Linked DNA regions of Elephas maximus indicus. The protein of the gene in region 1 interacts with the protein of each later gene in a biochemical or structural test. Links are inferred from orthologs where the notes say so. Each region holds a gene or a part of one and is shown on either strand. Other genes may lie near its edges. The genes, in order: TRIM25 and ZC3HAV1.

Evidence for each region.
Region 2: of the proteins of TRIM25 (region 1) and ZC3HAV1, one has a biochemical effect on the other in vitro, tested with the Homo sapiens proteins (2 studies listed by BioGRID). The link is inferred for Elephas maximus indicus from reciprocal best matches to the Homo sapiens genes TRIM25 and ZC3HAV1.

The regions. Positions count from the first base shown.
Region 1 is NC_064837.1:37,146,909-37,150,817, forward strand, and holds the start of TRIM25 (E3 ubiquitin/ISG15 ligase TRIM25), read left to right. Parts: upstream 1-1,541; 5' UTR 1,542-1,622; coding exon 1,623-2,219; intron 2,220-3,909.
Region 2 is NC_064826.1:11,011,781-11,015,689, reverse strand, and holds the start of ZC3HAV1 (zinc finger CCCH-type antiviral protein 1), read right to left. Parts: upstream 2,610-3,909; 5' UTR 2,086-2,609; coding exon 1,790-2,085; intron 1-1,789.

The DNA.
Region 1 (3,909 bases):
TCCTGGAGGAATAGGAGCCTGCTGGATGAGAATTATGGGAACCAGGGAGTAGAATATTGAGTTAAGCAGTCCTTGGCTAGAATTTTAGTCTTGCTTTCTGGAAGTTATCTGACCCTCATCTGTAAAATGGACACAATGACATCTGTCTTGCAGAATTTATAAGGATTGTTGTTATTGTAAAAGGACCCCTGGTGGGACAAGCCCTGGTGCTTGGTTTCTCACCGGAAGACTGGCCATTTAAACCTGCAGCCTCAGAAACCCTGTGGGGCGAGTCTACTTTGTCCCATAGGTCACTGTAAGTCGGAATCGACTTGACAGCCACTGCTCTTTTGGGTTGTTGCTGTGTACTGTAGAGTAGATTTGACTCATGGGGACTGCATGTGACAGAATAGAACAGCCCCATAAGGTTACCTTGGCTATAATCTTTACCAAAGCAGATCATCAGCTGATTGCCAAATCTGTCTCTTGTGGAGCCGGTGAGTGGGTTCAAACCTCCAACCTTTAGGTTAGCACCCCAGCGCTTTACCATTGCAGCACCAGGGCTTCTTTATAAAGATTATGGCTAATATATGTGATTTACCTAGTATACAGTAGGTTGCATATAAACAAATAATTACTTTTTGGATTACTATTACTATTACCATTCATAGTGACCCTACGAAGCAACGTAAAACTGCCCCATAGGGTTTCCAAGGAGCAGCTGGTGGATTTGAACTGCTAGCCTTTTTGCTTAGCAGCCGAGCTGTTAACCACTGCGTCACCAGGGCTCCGCTATCACTATTAGCAGTAGTCTAAGGTTTTTTTTTTTAAGGCATTTACCTTTTTCTCATTTTTGCCATCCACTCTGTACCTAAAGCAAACTCCAATTAACCCCTCCCAATACACAATCTTTCTCATTACCACCATCCCGTCTCCTCTCTTGAACTCGTCTAGCCTCTTGTCCACTCATTTTTCCTGTACCCAGGCCAGAGAAGGGGAAAAATAGAGCTAAATATTAAATGAAATTTAAATAAGCAATTTTTAGAAAAATGTTTAAGCTCTAATGTTACAGATGTGTGTGAGTGTGTGTAAACCTTTCATTAAACTGGATGTCTCCAAACTCCAGGAAAGTAGAAATGAGAATTAAAAATAAAATCCTGTTAGATTGGTGGAATGGAAAGAAGTCACCCAGTTTAAGTCTGAGCGTGGGTGTGAGCTCCAAACTCCAAGGGCTGTATGCTGATGGAGCATCCACACCCCCGAGCCCCCCGCAGAAAAAACAAAAACAGTCTGCGGAAGGCCGACTGGACCTCGGCTCTGGCTGGGGTCCAGGCCTCCGCATCCCTCGAGTTCATCGTCCGCACAGTGGCCCCAAAAAGCCCCGCGCCCACCGGGCGGAAGCTATACGGGCCGTTCCGCCGCTGACCCTCCCCTGGACTGCCAGTCCGCCGCCCGCACGGGGGCCGGATGCGGCCCGCCCCCTCACCCCCGGCAGCCAGCCAGCCGACCAGCCCGCGCCCCACGTGACTTCCGAGAGGCTGCGGGGACCGCCCCGGCCCCGATCAGTTTCGTTTCCTCACAGCTTCCGTGCCACAGTGCAGCAGCCTGGGTTCTAACGTGTCGTGCCCCTCCGGAGGAGCGCTATGGCGGAGTTGAACCCGCTGGCGGAGGAGCTGTCGTGCTCCATCTGCCTGGAGCCCTTCAAGGTGCCGGTGACCACGCCGTGCGGCCACAACTTCTGCGCATCGTGCCTGGACGAGACGTGGGCCGTCCAGGGCTCGCCGTACCGGTGCCCGCAGTGCCGCGCCGTCTACCAGGCGCGGCCGCAGCTCCAGAAGAACACGGTGCTGTGCGCCGTGGTGGAGCAGTTCCTGAGCGCCGAGCAGGCCCGGGAGGTGTCTGTCGACGGCTGGACGCTGCCCGTGCGCACCGCGGCCCCCAGCCTGCCCGAAAAGGTGGCCTGCGACCACTGCCTCAAGGCGGCCGCCGCCAAGACGTGCCTCGTGTGCATGGCCTCCTTCTGCCAGGAGCACCTGCAGCCGCACCTCGACAGCCCAGTCTTCCAGGACCATCCGCTGCAGCCGCCTATCCGCGACCTGATGCGCCGCAAGTGTTCTCAGCACAACCGGCTGCGAGAATTCTTCTGCCCCGAGCACGGCGAGTGCATTTGCCATATCTGCCTGGTGGAGCACAAGGCCTGCTCGCCGGCGCCGCTGAGCCAGGCCAGCACCGACCTGGAGGTAGGGGCGCCACGGAGGGCTGGTGGGGCTGCACAGAGGCCGTGCTCCCTGGGCCTCTCTGCCGCACCTTGAATGCTCTGGGGGTATAGGCTTTGCTGGGCCTGAGATGGAGGGCAGGGGTATCCCGAATGTCACAGGAGAAAGGAGCTGGGGATGATACAGGCCTCTCCCACCATGTATACCTGGCCCCCCAACATACACCCATTTTACAGAGAGGAAAACAGAAGACACAGCCGAAGTAGCTTTCCTTAAGCCTTGTGCTTGTCTAATGGTGTTTCGTAGATGGTTTTGAATGTTAACTCTAAGCCCTGGAGGTTACTTCTGTCCTTCAGTAAGTTCTGCGAGCGCCTAGGAGATGAGTCTTAGTATTTTCATTTACAGTTGAGGAAACTGAGGTCCAGAGAGATTAATCTAGCCCCAGGTAATGCAGTAAGAGCCCTGGTGGCACAGTGGTTAAAGCGCTTGGCTGCTAACCGAATTGTTGGCTGTTTGAAATCACTTGCTACCCTGCAGTGGAAAAATGCAGCAGTCTGCTTCGATGAAGGTTACAGCCTTGGAAACCCCATGAGGCAGTTCTACTCTGTCCTGTAGGGTTGCTGTGAGCTGGAATCGACTGGATGGCAGTGGGGGTTTGGTTGTTTTTTTTTTTAGTTTAATACAGCAAGGGGCGGAGTGGACATTGGGACCCAAGTTGGTTTGACTACACACTGTGTGATTTCTCTCCATGGATCAACCTCAGATCTGTAGGTCTGGAGAGTCCAGAGCACGGGACATTTCCAGAGGCTTAAGGTCATGTAAGCAAACACCTCTGGGGACCCGGAGAGTTCTGTTGACCAGGGAGAGTTGTTCTTATTAGAGGTCGGAGAGGGTGTGGGGAGCCCCAGGAATCCCTGGATGTGACCATAGGGAGCACCAGCCCTGTGGCACCATAGCACCGCCTCCTTATTGTGTGACTTTGAGCAAAGGATGTGGTCTGTGGCTTGGGGCCTCGTCAGTGAAATGAGGAGGTGAGACTAGGTGGATTCCTAAGGGACCTTGGTCTGTGATCTTCTTAGTGGTTTGGAGGGATCATACCTTTTCTCTGTGGACTCCAGGCAGAGGCTGAAAGATGTAATGAAACCACCTTGAATTGTATACCACTGTAAGTTCCAAAGCTTGGCCTTATTTTATTTCATGCTCCCGGCACTGTCAGATAGAACAAGGGCTCTTTTTGTTTTGTTAAAGGAGACATGAGGCCGGGGTGAGGTCGGGGAGGGCTGGGGGCGGGGGTTGCAGCACTGCTGAGTTCAGAGTACAGGCCTCCCCCATTCAGGTTACAGCCCTTCCTTGGCCTTATCTGTTTCTCCAGGCCAGAGCTGGGTGTTGAGAGAGAGCTGGGTTTGAATCCCAGCCCTGTGTCCTAGCTGGGAAATCATAAAAAGGAATAGTAATGCATCAGGGTTGTATCCTTTCACCATACCTGTTCAATCTGTATGCCAAGCAAATAACCTGAGAAGCTGGACTACATGAAGACGAGTGCAGCATCAGGATTGGAGGAAGACTCATTAACAACCTGCGTTACACAGATGACACAACCTTGCTTGCTGAAAGTGAAGAGGACTTGAAACACTTATTGATGAAGATCAAAGACCACAGCCTTCAATATGGATTACACCTCAACATAAAACAAAATCTTTGCAACTGGACAATA
Region 2 (3,909 bases), on another chromosome or scaffold:
AATAAACAAAACAAAATTGGCCATATTCTGAGAACTGTTAAAGCCAAATGATGGGTACACAGGGGGTCATCATTCTCTTCTCTCTACTTTTGTATATGTTGAAAAACACCCGTAGTAAAAAATCAGAAGATTGAAAAATATATTTAAAACAAAAAGACAACATTAGTTGGTAAAGAATTTTTAGTCATTCACCTTAAAAACAGAAAAACAAAGCCTCCCAATATGGTTATTCAGTATAGTGCTAGAATGTTCCCTCTGCTACGCTCTCCTCCTTAGTATTTCCTTCCCTTTCCGGACTGAGATGACTCCCTCTATAAACGTAACTTCCAGCATCTCAGAAACAGACTTCCAAATTGTTGACTCACAGCATGCTAAATTCTGAGTTTTTAAAAAGGGAAGGATACTCAAGCACTTTTTTTTTTTTTTTAGAGTGAGCAGAAAGGTTTTTTGCTCTCAATAAATACATTTTTGAAAATATCTCCTCCATCTTTTATCTAAAGCATCTATCTTCTGTACATTTTATTACACATATTTGGCGGTACACGATCTAAAGGTTTTTGTTAACAGGAAGTTCGTGAGCAAAGTTTGATGACCACCATTTTGGACACTGGGACACCACTTAAGGTGTTTATGGAAGAGCCAAGAAAGAAAAACACTAATCAGGAAAAAATAATTGAGCAGAAAAACATAGGGTTAGATTAGATGAGGGAATCGACTGTAGCCAAAAGAGCCTTTTGATTACTTCAACGGCGCCTTCATTCAGAAGCAAGATGGGTATCGGAGACTTCCGAAGGAGGAGAAAAGGTTTAGATCGGGTGGAGGGGATTGTGGAAGACCCTGCCTGGAGTAAAGACGATGAGTTTGATCAGAGTATTGGCAGGGTGCTCAGGAACAGCTATTCCACGACCCTGGGAGATGCGGAGCCTGGACGGGGTAGAAAGGCCTGCACAGTGGGTCTATGTTTGGAAGCCATCTTCGTAGACAAAACCGCTAACCCAAGGGAGTGAGCGCTCTTAGGAAGAAACCTTCAAGACCTCTAGATCAAAAGACTTACCCCAACCTTGGGGCACAGCTGTTGTTATAAGGCATAAAAGACCATGTGGAACCAGAAGCAGCTACGTAAGAGGTAACCCGCACTGTTTCAAAAGACCAGTTTAAGACAGTGGTCCCAAAAGGGAGTGGTCAACGGTGGGGACAGACACTACTCAGAGACGAGGGCGAAGGGACGCCAGAAGACGACGCTACATCATCGGTAACCTCGAAGGGGGCCACTCCGGTCAGCAGGTGGGGACCGGCCCCAGATTTCATAAAAGTGATCACAGGGGGTTGGAGGGGCTGAGACTGGAGGGCCAAGCAGAGACCCGAAGGGAGCGGCGGTGGAGAGGGATGGGGGTGCGTGGCGCGGCTGGGGTGCTGGGAAGACCGTCACACGTCTAGGGAAAGACTTGAGATTTTAGGGAGTAGAGGCATTTTCCTTTCTTCCCAAAACCGCCTTCAACTTCCCCAGGCCCTGCCTGGCCCAGAAAGCACTTTATTCTTAGCGGAGGGGAGGGGGGGCTAAGCGCACTCCACCTGGGCAATATCGCGTTGGCCCTATTGGAGGCAAAGACTGGAGGCACTCGCGGGAAGGGATCGGCAAGAGCGGGTGCGCGGCCAGAGCAGAAATGCTCCTAGGCGAGCAGAGAAGAAAGGGGCTGGTGGAACAGACTGTCGGGGTGCAGAATCCCGGCGAGGGCGCGCCCCTCGTGGAACAGCGGCCCGTCTTTCTCCCCCACCTTAGGACACTCACCGCTGCGACTGCGAATAGTTGCACCGGCCCAGCAGGTTGAGCTTGCAGAGGTGCAGGTTTTCGCAGGGTCTCTGGCAGAACTTGCGACGGCAGACCCGGGCTCGAGTGGTGGCCACCACCCACCGGCTACCCTCGGTCTCCTGGACCACGAAGCGGTCGGGCCCGGCCGCTTGCAGCACCTCGCAGAGCTGCTCCTCAGATAGCGCGATCTCGCGGAGCAGCGCGTCCAGAGCCATGCGGCCCTTGTGGGCGCACAGGATCTTGGTGATGAAGCAGCACACCTCCGGGTCGGCCATGGCCACGCCGTTGCCGCTTGGCGGCCGGAGCCTTGCAGACACTGAGCGCAACTGACCGCGCTTGCTCCCGGAGAATCGAAACCTACAAGTCGCCCTCCTGGCGCGCGGGGCGGGGCGCCCCTCCCCCGGGCTCAGCGCTTTCGGTTTCCAACTCGGCTCTTGGGTGGAGGCCGGATACCACCGCCTGGGTCGTTGTGTAAAAGTCGAAGGCGATGGCCACCGAATGGCAAGCAAGTGACCAAGCGCGGGAAAGCCTGCGTAGACGCAGCGCCTGCCCGGCGGCCTCTCTCGAGTCTGGGCTTGGCGAGGATGATCACTACGAGGCTTGTCAGGACAGAAGAGAAACTGAAAATGAGCTCGGGGATTTTTATGTGCCAGTGGTGAATGACGCGGGTCTTGGTTCCTCTCGCTCCCCACCCCACTCACTCATCCCGGAACGAGCAAACCCTGGTGAGAGCAAACCGTGGTGAGCGCCTCCTCCGAGCCCGGCGCGCTGACTCCGGAATTGTAGCGAATCTGCAGGACAGCTCCACGGGTTGGTTGTTACTACCCTCCCTCTGTAATTGAGGAAGTAACTTGCACAAATACGCACTGCCATCAAGCCGGAGCTCGGGGATTCCCCATATCTCCCCCCAGTCCCCAGACCGTGGTCTGCCTGGTCTAGGAGCCATGTGTACTTTCCCTCAAACCACCGTGCGCCCTTAAAGAACACCGACTGTTCTCCCTTTCCCTCTGTTTTGCCTTCTTACAAACGTTTAGAAGAACCACTTCTTGATCCCGTCTTTCTTGATTGTAATTGCTAACAGCAGGGCCCCAGACCCGACTTAATCCCCCTGATAGAAAGAAGTCATAGGCAGGCACGCTTAGACATACCCCAAGGCTTCAGATCTGCCCCTCTCTTTAGGTATTTGGACATAGGCCCTCCTCTCTACCCTCCACCAATGAATGGTTCATTGATCAGACAAGAAATAGACCTTTAAAAAACACAGTAGAATTTGGTTGCCATATTAGAAATTCTTCTGAATCACAAATTGAAATTCTCTTCCGTTTGGTAATTGGGGTAAATGGACAGTGTCTCTCAAGAATAGAGTACTTTGGTGCAAAAACCATCCAGACATGGGGCCCAGTAGGAGTGAGGAATCTGTCTTCTGACTTCCTGGTTCTTCTGGCTACTGCTTCCACACTTGTCCTTTAATCCCCTTGGCCTTATATGTGGTCTGAGAGGTTCCCAGGGATGTGGGCTTTCACTACCAAATCAATAAAGTTGAACATACTTATTGAGTATCTTCCATGTGGACTTTACATTAGTTCGTCATTCTGAACATACAGAAATTTAAGAAATAGTCCCTGCCACTAGAGTTTGTGTTTGGGAAAACATTAAAATATAAGGGAATCAGGGACTAAATACTGCCATGGATATATAGAAGATCAGCGAATGAAGAGTCCAGTTTGGCTAGAGTGGTTGGGAATAAAGATACAAAATCCTCCTCAATTTGAAACCACACAGAACTAAGTAAGGAGGGTGGGAAGGCAAAAAAAAAAAAAAAGACAGACAGACATTTGGGGGAACTTTGAAATATGTGCTGTGGCAGTCTGAGTTCTCCAGGAAGCAGATACTGAGGTGAAGTTAGGAGGGCAAAAGATTTACAAGGTGGAATCCCTAGGTGACGCGAACAGTTAAGCACTCCACTGCTAGCTGAAAGATTGGAGGCTCAAACCCACCAGAGGTGCCTCAGGAGAAATGCCTGGCCATCTGCTTCCAGAAAGTCACAGCCTGGAAAGCCCTGTGGAGCAGTTATAGTCTGCACCATGAGTCAGCGTCAA